Linked DNA regions of Neurospora crassa OR74A. The protein of the gene in region 2 interacts with the protein of the main gene of each other region in a pairwise test. Links are inferred from orthologs where the notes say so. Each region holds a gene or a part of one and is shown on either strand. Other genes may lie near its edges. The genes, in order: rho-3, NCU01440, NCU08499 and NCU06404.

The links.
Region 1: the proteins of NCU01440 (region 2) and rho-3 interact in a two-hybrid assay, tested with the Saccharomyces cerevisiae proteins (2 studies listed by BioGRID). The link is inferred for Neurospora crassa OR74A from reciprocal best matches to the Saccharomyces cerevisiae genes MYO2 and RHO3.
Region 3: the proteins of NCU01440 (region 2) and NCU08499 interact in a two-hybrid assay, tested with the Saccharomyces cerevisiae proteins (2 studies listed by BioGRID). The link is inferred for Neurospora crassa OR74A from reciprocal best matches to the Saccharomyces cerevisiae genes MYO2 and GYP5.
Region 4: the proteins of NCU01440 (region 2) and NCU06404 interact in a two-hybrid assay, tested with the Saccharomyces cerevisiae proteins (4 studies listed by BioGRID, with this or other methods). The link is inferred for Neurospora crassa OR74A from reciprocal best matches to the Saccharomyces cerevisiae genes MYO2 and SEC4.

Annotation. Positions count from the first base shown.
Region 1 is NC_026501.1:7,873,110-7,877,397, forward strand, and holds rho-3 (small Rho-type GTPase), read right to left. Parts: upstream 2,858-4,288; 5' UTR 2,080-2,857; coding exon 2,027-2,079; intron 1,911-2,026; coding exon 1,860-1,910; intron 1,795-1,859; coding exon 1,745-1,794; intron 1,686-1,744; coding exon 1,596-1,685; intron 1,525-1,595; coding exon 1,145-1,524; 3' UTR 262-1,144; downstream 1-261. UniProt on the Saccharomyces cerevisiae protein: Plays an important role in cell growth. Required to keep the uninucleated state. Modulates morphogenesis during bud growth via directing organization of the actin cytoskeleton and the position of the secretory machinery for exocytosis.
Region 2 is NC_026505.1:4,738,496-4,742,637, forward strand, and holds the start of NCU01440 (myosin-2), read right to left. Parts: upstream 2,811-4,142; 5' UTR 1,855-2,810; coding exon 1,720-1,854; intron 1,608-1,719; coding exon 1,475-1,607; intron 1,388-1,474; coding exon 1,198-1,387; intron 1,137-1,197; coding exon 1-1,136. UniProt on the Saccharomyces cerevisiae protein: Myosin heavy chain that is required for the cell cycle-regulated transport of various organelles and proteins for their segregation.
Region 3 is NC_026502.1:3,459,240-3,463,285, forward strand, and holds the start of NCU08499 (GTPase-activating protein GYP5), read right to left. Parts: upstream 2,856-4,046; 5' UTR 2,234-2,855; coding exon 2,009-2,233; intron 1,863-2,008; coding exon 1,520-1,862; intron 1,455-1,519; coding exon 1-1,454. UniProt on the Saccharomyces cerevisiae protein: GTPase-activating protein which accelerates the GTP hydrolysis rate of YPT1 and SEC4. Involved in ER to Golgi trafficking and polarized exocytosis.
Region 4 is NC_026504.1:2,622,887-2,626,951, reverse strand, and holds NCU06404 (GTP-binding protein), read left to right. Parts: upstream 1-1,243; 5' UTR 1,244-1,911; coding exon 1,912-1,941; intron 1,942-2,071; coding exon 2,072-2,339; intron 2,340-2,550; coding exon 2,551-2,870; 3' UTR 2,871-3,737; downstream 3,738-4,065. UniProt on the Saccharomyces cerevisiae protein: Involved in exocytosis. Maybe by regulating the binding and fusion of secretory vesicles with the cell surface. The GTP-bound form of SEC4 may interact with an effector, thereby stimulating its activity and leading to exocytotic fusion.

The DNA.
Region 1 (4,288 bases), on a different chromosome or scaffold from region 2:
GTAATTCAACCGGCTCTGCAAAACAAAGATACAGTGCATGTTTATCCTTCAGCTCGATTGGTAATGAACTCCTTGCCAAGTACTGTACGCACTGCAATCTCGCTGCTTAATCGCCGCTTGGAACTGTCAAACGATAAGACTGATAAGAATCCGCCATATGTCCGCGGGCCATGACCGGAGATGCTCGAGTCAAGATTGGCAAATACCCGACACATTATCTACCTCATGGAACTTGTTATTATAGCCTTTAGCAATGGGGAGTTCGGAGATGCTCAGTTACTCGATTGAAAGCTCGACTTCCGCGACAAAAATATCAAGCCAAGGGTACATATACACACGAGCGTCTGTTCTAAACTGGCAGACCATGATACAGGGATTTGGCACATATCGTAGACTGTTGCTATGGCCACTGAACATCAGCACCCCATCCTAATAATAATGCTCAAGACAGTTGTTACATAGACCTCTTAACATCAAATCCACAACCACGAAAACCCAAGCTCTCAGCGACTGCTCAAGCAGCTCAATTAGCGGTTGAACACAGCTATATTTTCCGCTGTCAAACAAATTTCCTCCAGCGCAACCCTATGCCACTTCAACCTTCCATGTCGTGTGTTGAAAGAGTTCCCCGTCCATCTCAACATGTCTTCAGAGTCTTTCCCCACTAGCCCGTCCGTATATGCAGATTCCAGAAAATCGACCAAATTATGTACAATGCAGAAATGAAAAATAGGAAAACAAAACTTTGCTGTTGTAAACTCCAATTTTCCACCAGTCACCACCCCGACAACACGCCGAGACAGGATATTGATAACTCGAAGAGAGGAGGCCAGAAGATGCAGTAAGACAAGAGCGAAAACCGGTGGCGGAAAACAAAAAAAAGTTGGTAAGGGAACCACTGCTGGTTGCGAAATCGTGTGCATCGTAGACAAAAACGTCCGGTATCGGCGTCGTAAAGGCGTCCTTCTTGGGCGATAGCGTGAATGAGCTGGTCGGGGAGATAAATGTGGTTGCCCGTGTTTGCTAGCGGTGCTCTGATCTGCGTCGATCTTACGTATAAAACACATTGTTGCCTAGCATCGAGGCAATGCTCGAGAGGACGGCCTATGCTGGGGCCATAATCCGGGTTGTTCGGTCAGCCGTCTTACATGACCACGCACTTCGACTCCTCCCGGTCCTTCTTCACTGACAAAGCGACACGCGCTGCTTCGGTGAAGGCTTCGTTGACTCCCCGGTTTCGCATGGCGGAGCATTCGAGATATCGAAGGGCCTTGATCCGGCGAGCCACTTCCAGGCCCTGGTCGTAGCTGATCATTGGCTTCTTCTCACGTTGAGCACCGTCCTCGTTGGCTCCGCCATCCTCTTCGTCCTCGGTCGCCTCGCGCAGGTCGCACTTCAACGCGACCAAGACAATCTTGACGCCCGGGCAGTTTTCAGCAATCTCGCCTTGCCATTTGCTTTCGACGTTTTCGAGCGAGTCCTTGCTGTCGACAGAGTAGCAAAGCATGATTAAGTCGGTGTCATCTAGTACACCGCAAGTCAGACGTCACGCACATAACATGGTTAGCGGCTACCGGGGAATGCGAAGAACCTACCGTATGATAGACTTCGTAGCCTGTCAAATTCTTCCTGGCCGGCGGTATCCCACAATGACAGTTCAATATGGACATTGTCGACGAAAATGTCTGAGTCAACATTAGTATCGCATTGGAGGACGCTTCGGTCACTTTCTCTGCAAACGTACCGTGCACATAGTTCTCGAAGACTGTCGGCTCGTATACAGTGGGGAAATAGCTGGACGGGAGGTTGAGCGTGAATTCTTAGATTGCGAGGCAATGGCGGTTCAATCGCAAACATACCCTCTTGTGAAAACGTTGAGCAGTGAGGTTTTTCCGCAGGCACCATCGCCGCTGTTGCCAAGAGTTCCGGTCAGCAATTGATCTCATAGCCAGAGTCTCTCTCTACGCATTGAGATGTCGCCTCGATCAATCCGATACGGGACGAGATTGGGGTGTGTTAAACTCACAGCAAGACGAGCTTGCGCTGCACTGTTTTCGACCCTCCGAGTCCGCAAGGCATTTTGACTGGTTTGTGAAGAAGAAAAGAAATGAGAAGTTGTGCTGTTGCAGTATTGCCGTTTCCGAGTCTCGAAGAAGGGCGACGCAGTGGATTGGTGGACCCCCTTTAGTTGCGTCTGGAGCTCGATAATGAATGTCCCCAATTGGCTTTCTTCAAAGAAAAGGGTTACCGGGATCGAATATGAGAATAAGGATGGCAGGCGACTGAAAGGCAATAGAGACTCTGGAGTAACGAGCCGCAGACGTTTAACTATATTTCGCTGGAAGTCGCAAACCGATTGATAATGACGAAGTGGAAAGAGGGGGGCGGCGGCGGCGGCGGCGGCGGAGCAGAGGCTCGATGGGGGTTGCAGTGGTGTCGGTCGAAAAGGAGCCAAACCAGAAAAGTAGAGGAAGGCCGATACGGGGTTTCTGGGGTACAGCAACGGGGAATGCTGGGCAGGTCGTAATCGAGGGAAAGTAGTTGGAAAACTTGAAACTGTGTCGTTGTGCGTATGCCGCCGCAAGAGAGTGTGAGTCGCTGGGAGTGAGGCAGCGGGCGGGGGGAGAGAACAGGACGGGAACGGAAAGAAGGGAAAAGAGAAGGGCAAAAAGGGATCAGGAAGTGCAGTGGAAAAGCGAAGGGAGTTTGGTCGACAGCGTATAAAGTGAAGGAGGCAACTTGTGGACGAAATTGAAGTCGGAGATGAGGTCAGCGAAATTGGAATGGAGCGAGGCAGGACTCGTCGGTCGACCTATTCCTCCGCACGGTGCAGGGGGCGTCCGCTGGCCCATTCTAGCGGCCGCTGCAGTTGCAGTTGCAGTGGGAGCTGAAGCTGAGCCCATAACAACTGGAACGGGTCGGTTTGACATGGACACAGGCAGCCACACTGCCCGGTGCATGCCTGCAGACAACCGGGCCTGTAAGCGGGGGTTGTGCTGTGCGCCCAGCACAAATCGTCAGCAGCGAACAGGTGCGCTCCAGCCACTCGTTGTGCGACAAACTGGCCAGGCTGGCCCACCCCAACCTTCCACCTAGCACGGAGCCAAGTTGCCATGCCGTTCGGGAAGGAGAAGAAGACTGTGGGGCCAAATACTCGCTTAACACTGGCAGGCTATTTGATATTCAGGGATCAATCTCGAACTTCGGTCGAAACCGTCCCTTGCAATCCAATTCATTTATCCATCCATCTCTCTGATTTTGACTTCCTTACCTTTTAGAGTTTTAGATAATGCCTTTCCACTGGCTAGACTAGTTGACTGAATGATCACGGCACAGAGACTACGTATATACTCCAGCGCTTGAGTTTAGATACCTCGCCCTGACACGACCCGAAACCTTTTCGGTTTGCAGTGCTACTTCGTACTATGACTATGCTGTTGCACAAACACGATGATCAACTTAGGCTTGATCAAACATCGACAATCCCTCTTCCTCAACCCAACTCGCCCTCACTTGCAGCACAACGTTGTTACCCACACCAGTCTTGCAGATCGGGCGAACAATGTCGTGTAGTGTATTTCCTGGCTACGCGCAGCATTTGAGCATATGAAATCCAGGCACGAGTGCGTCATCTTGACACAGCCCGGAACATCTGGTCTCATGTGCCCTCCAAAACCAATTGGCTCGTGGATGGAATGAAAGGGTGCGCACCTAGGTACCTACCTTAGGTACCTTGTGCAGCAAGGGCGAGTGGACACTAGCTTGGTCGTTGTTTTATTGAACAAAGGGCTGACGGGACGGCACCAATCTGGAGACGTGATGAGACCTGACAAGTCGGCCAAGTCTGTTATGCCAACTCTGCGATACTGCCTGACGACTGGGGTTTCGGTTTGCTTGTTTTGGCGAACTGGATATAGAAAAAGTCTTGCCACATTGACTGGATGTGGTACATGACTGGTAGGTAGCTTTTAGAGTTCAGCCCATCAAGCCACCATTCGCATTCGCAGGGAAATACTTATCCATGGCTTTTGGATCAATGCCCCACACACAGCAACAGCCTCGACGATAACCCCGGATTTGGCAACCCGGGAATGAGAGACGCAAAATGTCAAACAACATTGATGGCTTTATTGGCGCCTGCACTATACCAGAAATTTCGCACGAACAAGAAGTGTGACGATCTGCCTTGCCCTCAAGGTCATGTTCCCAAACCAAGCAGCGTGGGGCACAAGTGGCTGGACTGAGAGATTCGCGCACCTCTTGCAATTACGTAGAAGCCATGGGCACA
Region 2 (4,142 bases):
ATTCCTCGTCTAGAAGGGACAGGATACCAAGTTTGCCCTCGATAAGGTCAATGCAGGGCTGGTTGTCAGCAAAGTCGATGAAGGTCCAGTCAATCTGCTCCCTAAGGTATTCCTCCTGCTCCAACTTGAACACATGCTGGTTGAACTCCTGCTGAAGCTTCTCGTTGGCGTAGTTGATACAGAACTGCTCGAAGGAGTTCTTGGCGAAATGCTCGAAGCCGTAAATATCCAGAACACCAATGAAGGAAGTGACTCTGGTGAGGACCTCCTCCGAAGCAAGACTGTGATTGATGATTTCGACGAGCCAGTCGAACAGACTCGAGTAGATGTACTTGGCAACGGAATCTCGGACAACGATAGCCTGCGCCTGGGTCAAGTTGGACACGATCTTTTCACCACGAGTGACCAATTGCTTCTTGACGATCCACTTGGCAAATTCTGGAGCATCGATGCCGAGAATCTCGCAGGCCTTAACCAGCGATGGTTCGGAAGGATCGAGGGAACTGTCGTTTCGCATGGCACCAATCTTGACATTACCCAAGTGGAGGAGACCAGCCAGAAGCTTGAAGATCTCCGTTTGCTTGCCCTCGTCAACACCGATGGTCTTCAAAGATGCCTTGGTCGCATTGAACTCGGCCTTGTCATCGACGCCATCGATCGTGGGGGTGTTACCCTGGTTGAGGTACTCGAACTGTTCAACGGGAAGCAAGCCCAATTCCTGGCGCTCCTTGTCCGTCACACCAGCAACCAGCTGGTAGAAAATATGGTAGTTTCTTTCCTTCAACGGTTGGAAAACCAACCTCGATCGCTCGAGAAGGTAGGTCCTGATCTTGGCACCGATAATGTTGGTGGCCTTGTCAAACATGATTTCGATGTATTTACCGAATCGCGAGGAGTTGTCGTTTCTTGTCGTCTTTGCGTTACCAAAAGCTTCCATAATCGGGTTCGTAGCCAAGATAGCCTCCTCGGTCTGGCTCATAGACTCGTGGCCACCCTTCTTTACTCGTGATCCGGGGCTGTCGGGCGATTCTCTTGTCGCGAAGTATCTCATAATGTACTTGGCACTGACAGTCTTACCGGCACCGGACTCACCAGACACGACAATGGTCTGGTTCTTGCCATCGCGCAACATGTCCCTATTGTTATGTCAGCGATTACAAGTCAACATGAATCGTCAAATTGGCAAAGAGCCCATACATGAACGCTTCCTCAGCAATGGCGAAAAGATGGGGAGCTTGGGTTGCTCTTTGCTTCCCGGCATAGACTTGAACCATGCCTGGGACATAAAGAGAGTCAACCCGCGCGAACGGGTTTGTAGCTATTAGAACAATACCCGAGTATGTGTAGATTTCCTTCTGGGCATATCGAAGGCGGATAGCCTGAAGCACTAAGCACAGCACATGCTATCAGCATCACGTTCTCGGAGTGCGCCCGATGGCGGGGCGAGTCAGCGCAAAGGTGTGTGTATATTTACCAGCAGGCTCGTTCAGATGTGATAGGTTCGTCAAGTCATCACTGGCTTCGAGCATTGTTGGGTTCATCAAGGGCGGTAGCGACTCATGGCCGCCTGACTGGAGGGCCTCGAGGGAGACCTCCACGGTCTTAGTCTGCAGGCAGTAACACATGTTAGCATCTTGAAGCGCACCAGCCCGCAAAGCACGTAAACCAAAGCACAAAAGTCGGAATATGCCGAGACTTGGGAAAGCATAAGCTACCTACCTCGCCATTCTCGCACTCGAAGATAAGAGTGACCTTGTTGCCGTCTACTGTCTTCTTGACTACTTCAGAGGCAACCCAACCCTCGGTAGGATCGGGCTGCCAGGCTCGAGTGCCAACATCATAGCTCTCCGACATTGGATGCGCTTGTATCGGTGTATTCTCGAGGGAGAGAAAATCGGCGCGAACCTGCGAGTCAGGAGCAAGGGGGAAGAGATGTTGTGGTGGGATTTGGATGGCTTCAAGAAGCCAGTTCTAGCGGCGGAACGGCCAGCACGGCTAGGGGCGACGGGGGTGGATAGGGATAATGGTGGACCGTGTCTGTTATGGCGGACGCAACGACCGGAATGAAGAGCGGTCCAGGATGCTAGTTCGGTCGCGGAAGCTTGGAATCCAAGGGCCGGCGGGAGTGTGGTGCTGGCGAAGACAACATTCACGAAGGGAATGGAAGAGGGGGAAATTAGATACAAAAATAGGGATTGGACGTGGAGCAACACATTAAAGAAGTATAGAAAGATGTTGCTATCGTGCGGGCAACGGAGCCCAAGCCGACAAACAAGGTGGTCGAAGACGATGTAGGTCTAGGAGTTCGAAAGGGGGTTCGGCTCGTGTCGTCGGACCGATGGGAGTGTAGCGCGGGCTGTTCTTGGACGAAACAGCTGAAAGATGTTGTTGTTGCTTTTGTTGTTTGCTTTGCGTGCCCAAGGGAGCTAGCTGGTAGGTGTTTGGCTGACCGGGAATAGGTCAGGTCCTGTCACTGTGTGTAGGACAGGAAGGTTGTGGAATGCCGTATAAACGGGGCGGGCAGAACGGGCGGAGCGGGGACCCAACACACTGCCTTGCGGTGGGAGAACGGATTCGTCGAGCGGTCGAGTCGGGTTCTCTTAACGGTGGCAGCCTCTCTGTATAGAAGTGGCTGATGGTCGAGATAGCACCTGTGGATGAGGGAACGTCCTTGATGTAGTAGCCTGTCGGGCCGGTGTGGTCAACAACCAAGTCAAAAGTCGGGGTAGGCGAGAAGGCGGGACGACGAGACGGGATGTCGTTGAAAGTTTAGGGGTAGGCTTCCGCTTGTAGTGTAGCTGAGGTGCCCGGTGATGATAGAGCACTGGCGGGCCGTCGTGGTGGCAGGCTAACAGCCCGGCCGACGTTCACTTCCGTTGACAGGGGCCCCGTTGTTGTGGATGTTGAGGTGGTCGGTCTTTGGCGGCCACCGCCCAATTGGGTGCGTCGCTGGGCTCGTTGCATTAACACCGAAGCACGGACTCTTTCGTGGGCTTGGGGAGCTGGACTCCATGGAGCCCCTCCAATGAGCCGTAATTCCCAAATGACCTGGACAAGCAGGGCTCTCCTTAAAAGGGGGCACTAACCAACACTGCGAAGAAGATTACATACCTAGAGGTATGCTTGGGAATCCCGCGACTCTACATAAGTGGAAAGCTACATAGTACACAGACAAGGCGAAGAAGAACAATGGGTGACTGGCACCTCTAAGCAGCGTATAAGGGTTACCTTTGTCTTGTCCGGAGAGGTGTCCAGTGGAAGACGACATGATGTACAAGATGGGTCACGATGTCCAAGTCTACACTCTACCTTGAGATGTACAAATGTGTCTCTGGAGGCTCACGCCAATGGGTGAATAACCGTCAGGATATCCTATGAGGACGACCATGTTTCTCCTCCTGATCTATAGCCCTCTTGATTTGTATGGCTTCATCGTTCTCATTATGTACGGTCTTTGGTCTTCCCCTGAGTTTCTGTATTTCTCCCCGACAGCTCACCGGCGCCCCTCATCAGGGTAGCATTTCGTTTACACAACTCCCTGAAGGAACTCACGGAAGTAAGGCCCAATCTTACCAGACTCCCATGGCCAATTGTTTGCACTGGTCCGTTCGTTCGTTCATTTGTTCGTTCGATATGCCATCCAACTGGGTCCCCGTCTGGCCCGTCTGCCCGCTTGTTGACAGTTGAAATGCATTAACCTGTCCGCCTGAAAAGGAGAGAGATGGGCAAACTCAAAATGGGGCATAGTGTAAATACGTACCAATACCTCTATGGCATTGATGGGTGGACCGGGCTGAGTCTGGCACCATGACAATCAATTGCATTTGCGTTCAGTTCCTTCTTCTCTTCTTTCTGGAATCTGCAGGGGTAAAAAGAGCGCCAGCGAATGGCGGGTCGTCAAAGACTGTGGAAACTGTTGGAGACTACCTACTTACGGGCCCCACCAGGCCCCCCGTGCGGCCGGCAGCCCGAGTATCGGGGCCTGGGACTTGGGAGGAAAAAAAAAGGGGAGGGGGGGGGGGGGGGGGGGGGAGAAAGGCGGTGCTTTTGGTGGTTTGCCGCCGACTCCGCGTCGTCGCCGCCTTTTGTCTGCTCCGTGGCCGGATTGACGACGAGTGACTACTGTTACAATTCAGAGTCAA
Region 3 (4,046 bases), on a different chromosome or scaffold from region 2:
ATAGATGCGCAGAACGAGCTGCAGGGGGAAGCGGTAGGCAAACAAGGTGAGGAACCACTGCGTGGCGTAGAGGTGAGGGGAGATGCCACGCCGATGGAGGTGGCAGTAGAGAGCGGGCTCGAGGTCCTCGAGTATGCGCTCAAACTGGTAGAGGCACTTGTGCAGACCGGGCATGTCCTGGATAAAGAGCTCGCGAAGGTGGTATTGGTTCATTAGTCGTACCAGCAGGCAGAAGGCCTCCTCCTCGGGCATGTTGAAGAGAAGAGGCATGACGAGGAAGTTCATGCCTTGGGCATAGCCGACGGCTTCGTCAAAGAGAGCATATGCCTTGCACACGCCAAAGAGGCCCTCCTGAAGCCCTTGGGCGGCGGCAAATTTGGAATAGCTCGTTCGAGCGCCCAGATCCCTTCTAATGACCTTTTCGAGCCTCGACAACATTTCCTTATCTTCCTTTTCCTTCTTCTTGCGCTCCGCCGCGGCAAGAGCCTGGGCCTTGGCGAGGGCTTCCGCGTCTTTCTCTGTCGGAGAAGGAGCGCCGGTTCCGTTGGGCCCAGATTTTTCTGAGTGAACTGACGAGGCAGAAGAGGGCGTATCCTTGCCGCTCGGCTTGCCGCCGTTACTCAGTGATATTGAGGCATTGCTCTGCCTGTCAGTTTTCCTCTCCTTGTCTGTGCCCCTCGCAACCAAGTCTCGGTAAACCGTTTCCAGTTCCTCATTCTTGCTTTGTGCCAGAACTTGCCAGATGACTCCACGAATGGCGCTGGGGATACCCTTCGCGATGGCCTCCTTCAACTGCTCAGGGCTTGTCCGAGCAACAGCTGCGGGACCTTCGTACACAACCGTCTGCCACAGATCCCAGTCCACAGGAGTATCGGAGCCCGCTGGGCCAGCAGTGACCCCGGATGCGGTACCGGGTGCGAGAGCCGGGTTGGGAGTTGGTGGAAGCGGCGACGGAGGGGGTTGGACTGCTTCCTTCTCCTCCGGGGTAGAGCTCTTCTCGTCATCGTCTCCCGTGGGCGCGCTGCCCTCCTCTCTTAGGCGCAATTGCTTGAAGCGATCCTTGAGAGTGTTCTTATTGCCCTCCTCGTCAACCTTGCCTAACGTCCCATCGGGGTTGCTGGAGAGAGTAGCAACAGAGCTGGCGGTATTCCGTCTTGGAGCCGTTGCGGCGGCTGGCGGTGGGGGTGGGTTGGCTTGCTCCTTTGATGAACTCCTGGACAGCCAGGAAAAGGGGCTGGTTAGTTTTCTGGTGACGGGAGGCGGTGGTGCCGGAGTAAGGGCTGCGGGCGCAGGCGCAGGAGGAGCGGCGGCGGCAGCGGCGGCAGCGGCCGCGGGTGGGCTTTTTACAGCTTCGTCGGTAGCGGAAGGTGACCACGGCATGGCGGGCAGGGCACTAGCTATACTGCTTATTGACAGCTTCTTGGTTGACGAAGGCGCCGTATCAAGGGATTTTTCTGGGTTCCCTTGTCAGTACAGTCTGGTGGGTTTTGCTTGGCTGTGCGTGCAGCTTCCAACGTACCTGTTTTGTCTCCAATTGTAGAATTATCGTTTAGGCTTACATCGTCCAGCGATGCAGCCGAGAAAGCGGACGCCTCTGAAACCTTGGAAGCATGCGAGATGCGGTGTAGCGACTTGCTTTCCTGCTCCTGTGCCGGGGTCTCGAAGACGTCTTCCTGCTCCTCTTCCTTGATCTCTGCTGTCTTGGGAACTTGGGGTGTCTCTGTGGTGTGGGAGCGGGCGTCGTGGTCGGCGTCGGCGGCGGCAGAATCGTCCATTGATGGGGAGCGCGGGCGGTGAAACGAGGAAGAGCGTTTTGTTAGGGACCTTACGGAACCTGTGTCGATGGCATCTTCAAACGTATCCTGCATGATGGGCAATAATCATGATTGTGGTCGCTGGTCAGCACTCGCTCGTATAGTACAGTACTCTTGTTGCTTTGGGTTGCACTGCCTTGTACCTCCCTAGGGGCAGGTAACATGGTAACTTGAGGAAGGAAAGGGAGACTTACGGTGTCCTTGTCGTCTGGGTCGGACAGGTTGGTGGGAGCGAGAGAGGCTGGTCGCTGGTGGTCGGGCTGGGAGTCCTTGTCCTTTGTCTCTGTTACGGGAGAGGAAGCAGCGTCCTCTTTCTCGTGCTCGTGGGTGACCTCCTGAACCGTCTCCGTGGGCATCTCTTTGGTAGCGACCGCCTCGTGGGGGGCAGCAGCCCCTTCCTGTACTTCGGATGCCGACATTTCGGTTGTTTCTTGGGAGGTGGAAACCCAAGGAATAGGCACAGGCTGCTCCGGCTCTGGACAATATACGAGGCGGCGACACAAGGACAGGCGAGAGCGGGCGACAAGTAAGGTGGTGGTGGTGGGTGCAGTGAGTGGTGTGTGGTACTAGAGGTAGGTAGGTAGGTAGGTAGGTAGGTAGGTAGGCAAGGTAGTGGTTGTTGTTTACGCGGCGGAGCGACTGGCCATTGATAAACGGAAATACAAGCAAGCAAGTGCGTGGAAGTGCTGGCTGGCTGGCTGGCTGGCTGGCTGCTGGATGTTCAATTGGCGGAGAGGGACGGAGGGAGAGAGAGACAAGACACACACCCCTCACTCACACAGCTGCTCGACTACTCCAGTCGCTTTCCACTGGTCGACAATGGGTGATCAATGACGGGGGCAAGTGCTGCAAACAGGGCCGCTTAAAGACAAGACAAGACAAGACAGGAATCACTGGCAGTACTACCTGTTGTTGAGAGTCTGAGTGGTAGGTGCCTAGGTGGTCTGGAGGAACGGGCAGGTCGACTCGCTGCCGCTGCTGCTGCTGCTGCTGCTGCTGTTGTCGTGATACGAATTGTGTGTGTGTGTGTGTCTGTCTGTGATGTGGGAGGGGAGGAGTCTGGGTGCAGAATGATTGATGCTTGTAAGTGCAAAATGTCCATGGTCGGTCAGTGTGTCGTCCCCTGAGAGATTTCGGGGTACACAGTACGCCAAGCCTGCACTAACTGAGGCTCTAAAATGGGCCGATGTCAAGTCGCGGGTACCTAGCAGACTAATCACTCCACCACAATCCACGCACTTTGTTTACCGTACTTTTGTCATTGTTCACCGCACTTGCTCGTGTGCTCAGGGCCACCACGAACTATTACATACGGGATCAGACGGGTACCTACTATCAACATGACAGACAGGGCATACATTACCTAGGTATCTCACTCTACACTAGTATATGGTAGACAGCAGCTGTCAGTGTTGCAGCCCTTGAGGTTCCTGCGTTACACTCACCCGCCGTACAGTAATATACATACGTATCTCTATGTACAGCATAACAAGGAACTCCCACGGCATTGAGATGCAATTAAACCTCCTTCTTTTGTGCTTATTCTCTCCACACACAAAAAGTCGATATTCAGGTCAAAGCAACTGAAGCCACCCGATCAAATGTGAGGCCGCAAACACGTTCACTCCATAAACATTCGCCGGCCATGATTCGATGCACATCCTTCATCGGCTGGTTGGCGGCGTCTATAAAGTGCAAGAGATGGCGCGTCCACAGCGGGACAAAAAGTCTAGAATAGAATGGGGAACATGGGGGGGTTTCCCCAATGGTATGCGCAGCGGTTTTTCTGAAACGGATGAGGGGCATGGATCTGCCGAAATGCGCCAATCATCGGCAAAAATGCATTGGAATGTCTTGAGCTTTTCGCCGTTTTCTTCCACCCTCCTTTCCACTTACATACAATGTTGCAACACCTCCTTCACCACCTTCTCCAGAGTCCAGACACACGGCATAGGTACATGGTTCATCTGATAAACTTCAAATACCAGCCATGTCTGCTTGATCGACAGCGGAAACCCCATCGACCCAACCCAGAGCATTGGAATCCCCACGATACCCGTTTGCCTCAATAAATTCCCAAAACATCATGTCAAAGACGGCATTGCCCATTTCGCCAAAACTCGGCCACGAACAAGGTTCGGGATCCGCCTAAGCCCTCGCTCGCCTTGCCCTCTCCTTTTTGTCGAAAATAGCCAAGAACCGAGATGCCGTTGTGCCAGCCCTGTGCGGTCA
Region 4 (4,065 bases), on a different chromosome or scaffold from region 2:
GTTGGTGAATGGCGGTAAGCGTTTTGTATTGTTAGTTGGGCTGTGATGTGATATGATCAGTGTACTTTAGTAAATAGCGACTAGATCTTCCATGATTCTTCTGTTTGTATGAAATAGCTATAAGGACTTGGAGTTTTGAGAATGCACGGGGGAGATGGTGCCGGTGATATGGCAGAGGTGAGCAGGTGCAGGAAGTACCGGGCCTAAACACCAAAACAGAGTTGTCTACTAACCCCTTAAACACGGTGGATACCTACCTACCTATGTGCCTATAGGCGGCGACGTTTAGTCCACGTAGTGTGAAAACACCCCACGGGCATGTTGCTGGACTTTTTCACGCTTCACGCAGGGGCATAACCAGGGTGCAGGGTCACCCAGGGGCCGCCTTTCGTGTGGCGGGAGGGCAGGAAAAGGCTTTGGTGGAAGAGATCATTGGGCCAATATGAGTTATAGATCCATCAACGGATACTGCGTCTCGTGCGTATAGACTGTTCACCGCCCTGCCCGCCTTTCTCACCATGTTGCTGTGAGACCGCCCAGTCGCCTGTGTCTGCAGCTTCAGCTGGCCTTTCACGATACTCCATTTTGTTGAAGAAGCCAAGAAAACCCCTTAATCAACTTTCCTGGTAAAACAAACAAATAAAGACAGCTGGTCTTCTGTTGGATGCGCGAATGAACGGATGGTCTCGTTTGGTCTCGAGGCTCACCTTCTTCCGCGACCTCAGATATTAGTGGCAGAGCTCCCTCCCTGGTTCCTGAATCTTGGGTTGCATTCGTTGAGAGTGCAGTTGAGTTGTCTCTTTCTCACTCCGGTTTCCTAGACACTTTGCGCCATGCACAACAACTTGTCCTTCGAGCTCATCCTGTCATTCATAACACATTGGTATCTCTATCTACTGCAAGGTTGAAAGGGACACAAAGAATGGAATATCAGGTGGAGTTGTTGCGGCGATTGTAGGTTCTAGAAACTTGACCGATTACGTACCGAACAGTCGCGTCCCCTAGACCACGATCACGCGCTGCAATAAGCGTTCTTCCACTAGAGTGGAGGTACAGGTGTAAAGGGCACAGATAACCCCCCATCCCATACATAGTGTAGCCCGCGACTCGGTAGCACTTCAGGCAAGTGCGTCAACCCTCACATTGTACCTCTATGGTGGTGATCGCGTTGCCCGGGCTCTGGACTTCCACTTGCCCTGCGCTTTGGGACCCAGGTTAGCATTGATTAGATAGTATCAGACATCAGGGGCATCTGAGACATTCCAGTTTTCTTGGTTCCTTCCTCTCCACGCAGGGAGGTCTTGGACAAGTGGAAGCTACAAGACCCCTTTCTGCCTTCCCCGTCCTCGTCATTGTTCGCCTTTCCATTGGATCTCCGCACGGCATCGCCCCGTAAAGTTGGAGGGAGAGAGAGCCCAGGTACGCACTGCCCGCAGCCCAGTAGCCGGCCAGCCAAGTCTACCTTAGTGCAGGAGTAGGAGACCCCATCGCGCTCTCGCCTGTTTGTTCGTTCTGCGACTCCTCCTCCGCTGGACTACTACCTAACCCGTGCAACCGCCCTGCAGTTTTGACAGGCCCGTCAACGTCGCACTGCGGACACGCTTTCAACTACCACCACCACTGCATTCCACCACCACTCACTCACTCACCTACACTACCTACCTACAACTGAACATCATTCCTGCTCTGTCGCCTGTTTCCTGAACTGCGCATCGTCACCACCATTCGAGCCTCCAGTCTCCATCCCCATTCCCTTTCCCGCAACTACCAGTGTACAACAGCCCGACGATTTCGAAACGCCGGATTTCGATTGATATCCCCTTTGCCGAATTCCGGAGTCCGAACTACCAGAGAAACATTCCAAGAGATCGAAACGACGGGCGGCGGCGTTAACCCCCACACCAGTTCATCATGTCGAGTAACAGGAATTACGATTTTCTGGTGAGTCTTTCCTTCACCTCACCGCTCGCACTCTCGCGACATTCCTTGTGTTCCCCCCCTCCCCCGTAGTGGGTTTGGCGAGGTTATTCTGTTTCCAGACGCTGACCGGAGATACCGCTTCACGACATAGATCAAGCTGCTCTTGATCGGAGACTCGGGCGTTGGCAAGTCCTGCTGTCTGTTGCGCTTTAGCGAAGACTCATTCACACCGTCATTTATCACCACCATCGGTATCGACTTCAAGATCCGCACAATCGAACTCGATGGCAAGCGGGTGAAGCTACAGATATGGGATACCGCCGGTCAAGAGCGTTTCCGTACCATCACGACGGCATACTACAGAGGCGCCATGGGCATTCTTCTCGTTTACGACGTGACGGATGAAAGGTCATTCAACAGTACGTGAACCCACATTCCCATCCCGCATAAAATGGCATGACAGTTGCGGTCAAGAGGTGGTCCTTGAGGTCACGCTCGAAATGCGATGGATTGGTGCCTTTTAGATGCCATGCCTCTCCATTGCTCCGGATTCTGGCATCAGCAATCTCCCATCGGATACCATGCCATGTATTACCTCGCTCCTTTGCTGACGTGACCTTCTCTTCGCAGATATCCGTACCTGGTTCGCCAACGTGGAGCAACACGCGACGGAAGGAGTCAACAAGATTCTCATTGGAAACAAGTGCGACTGGGAGGAAAAGAGGGCGGTTTCCAAGGAACAAGGCCAAGCGCTAGCCGACGAGCTTGGCATTCCCTTCCTCGAGGTTTCGGCCAAGGCGAACATCAACATCGAAGAGGCCTTCTTCAGCCTCGCCAACGACATCAAGAAGCGCATCATCGACACATCCGGCAAAGAGGCGTCTGGCGGCTCGTCGGGCGTGAACGTCAGCGACAACAGCGGGTCAGGATCCGGCGGCAAGTGCTGTTAAGCCAAACGGGTAGCAGTTGTGTGGCGGCGAAACCCGACCCTGGAGCTCGCAAAAAAAAAAAAAAAAAAGCCCGCTGACAATCACGATGGCGATACGAGATCCGATTTATCCTCCCGAAGTATGGATGACAGCAGTCTGGCCTCATTCAGTTCTATTTGGCTACAGCCTACGTCTATCGAACATGCACCTGTCTTCCTGCGGGCCACCAATATGCACGGCCGGGTCTACCGCATGGAAACAAAGAGGCGGTGTAGGGGAGAAAGAGGGTATCTTCGGTCTCAAGACTTTACTATGGTTGTAATGAAGCTAAGGTCCAAGAGGAAAAGACGGCTTTAGTTATTCTGGAGGGCTCATTGAAAACCCCTTTCTTGTCACTCGGGAGCAGGAGGGAGAAGCGGCGCGGAAGATACGACGCGTGCTCATTTCCGGCTTCTCGCTATTGGGTCTATTATTATTGCGCTCTAGAAGCAGTGGATGGTAGGATGGATAGGCTAGGGAGCTGAGGACATCAACGACGATACGGAGACATGTGAGTATTACGACCGGCTTGATCGATATAGATGGATTGAGGTTGGGTTGGCAGCATGGACGAGGGGCAGAGAGCGAAACGAAACATTCTGGTCACGGAGTTTGGGTGCGATCTTTGGCTCTTCCTAATATATTTCATTTTCTTCTCTCTTGACTGTTTCCCCTTTGTTGTTCTCTTTCTGGTTTGTAGATTTCGTGCGCGGCCCCCCTTATAGCTGTATCTCCAAAGTATGACGATACGACACCCATAAAACAAAACATAGATAGATATTCCCTGAAAAGATGGGGACGCCCTGGTCAACCATGGCTAGTGTAGAGTATCAAGACGTATGACGTGAGCGATAACATTGTTGACATGAGCCACGAATCCACAAGAGGTGCTCTTTTACTCTTTCGGGAAACGAGCACAAAGAACGGGATAGATGTGGTCTGTGCGTTGCTCAACTTCCACTTGTCGGTCCCTTCGGTCTGACTGTTTACATAGTGCCGAGGAAGCCACCACTGCACTGCGGCATGCCACCACGCTCACTACAGGACCCATACTCGAGGGTGATGGGTGCCTTCTGGCTCTGGGCGCCAAGGCTCTTCCACCCCCTCCCTATAGGAGAGGGGGTGGATAAAATATGGGATAGTAAATTAATTTGGGACAGTAGCGAAATATACTATG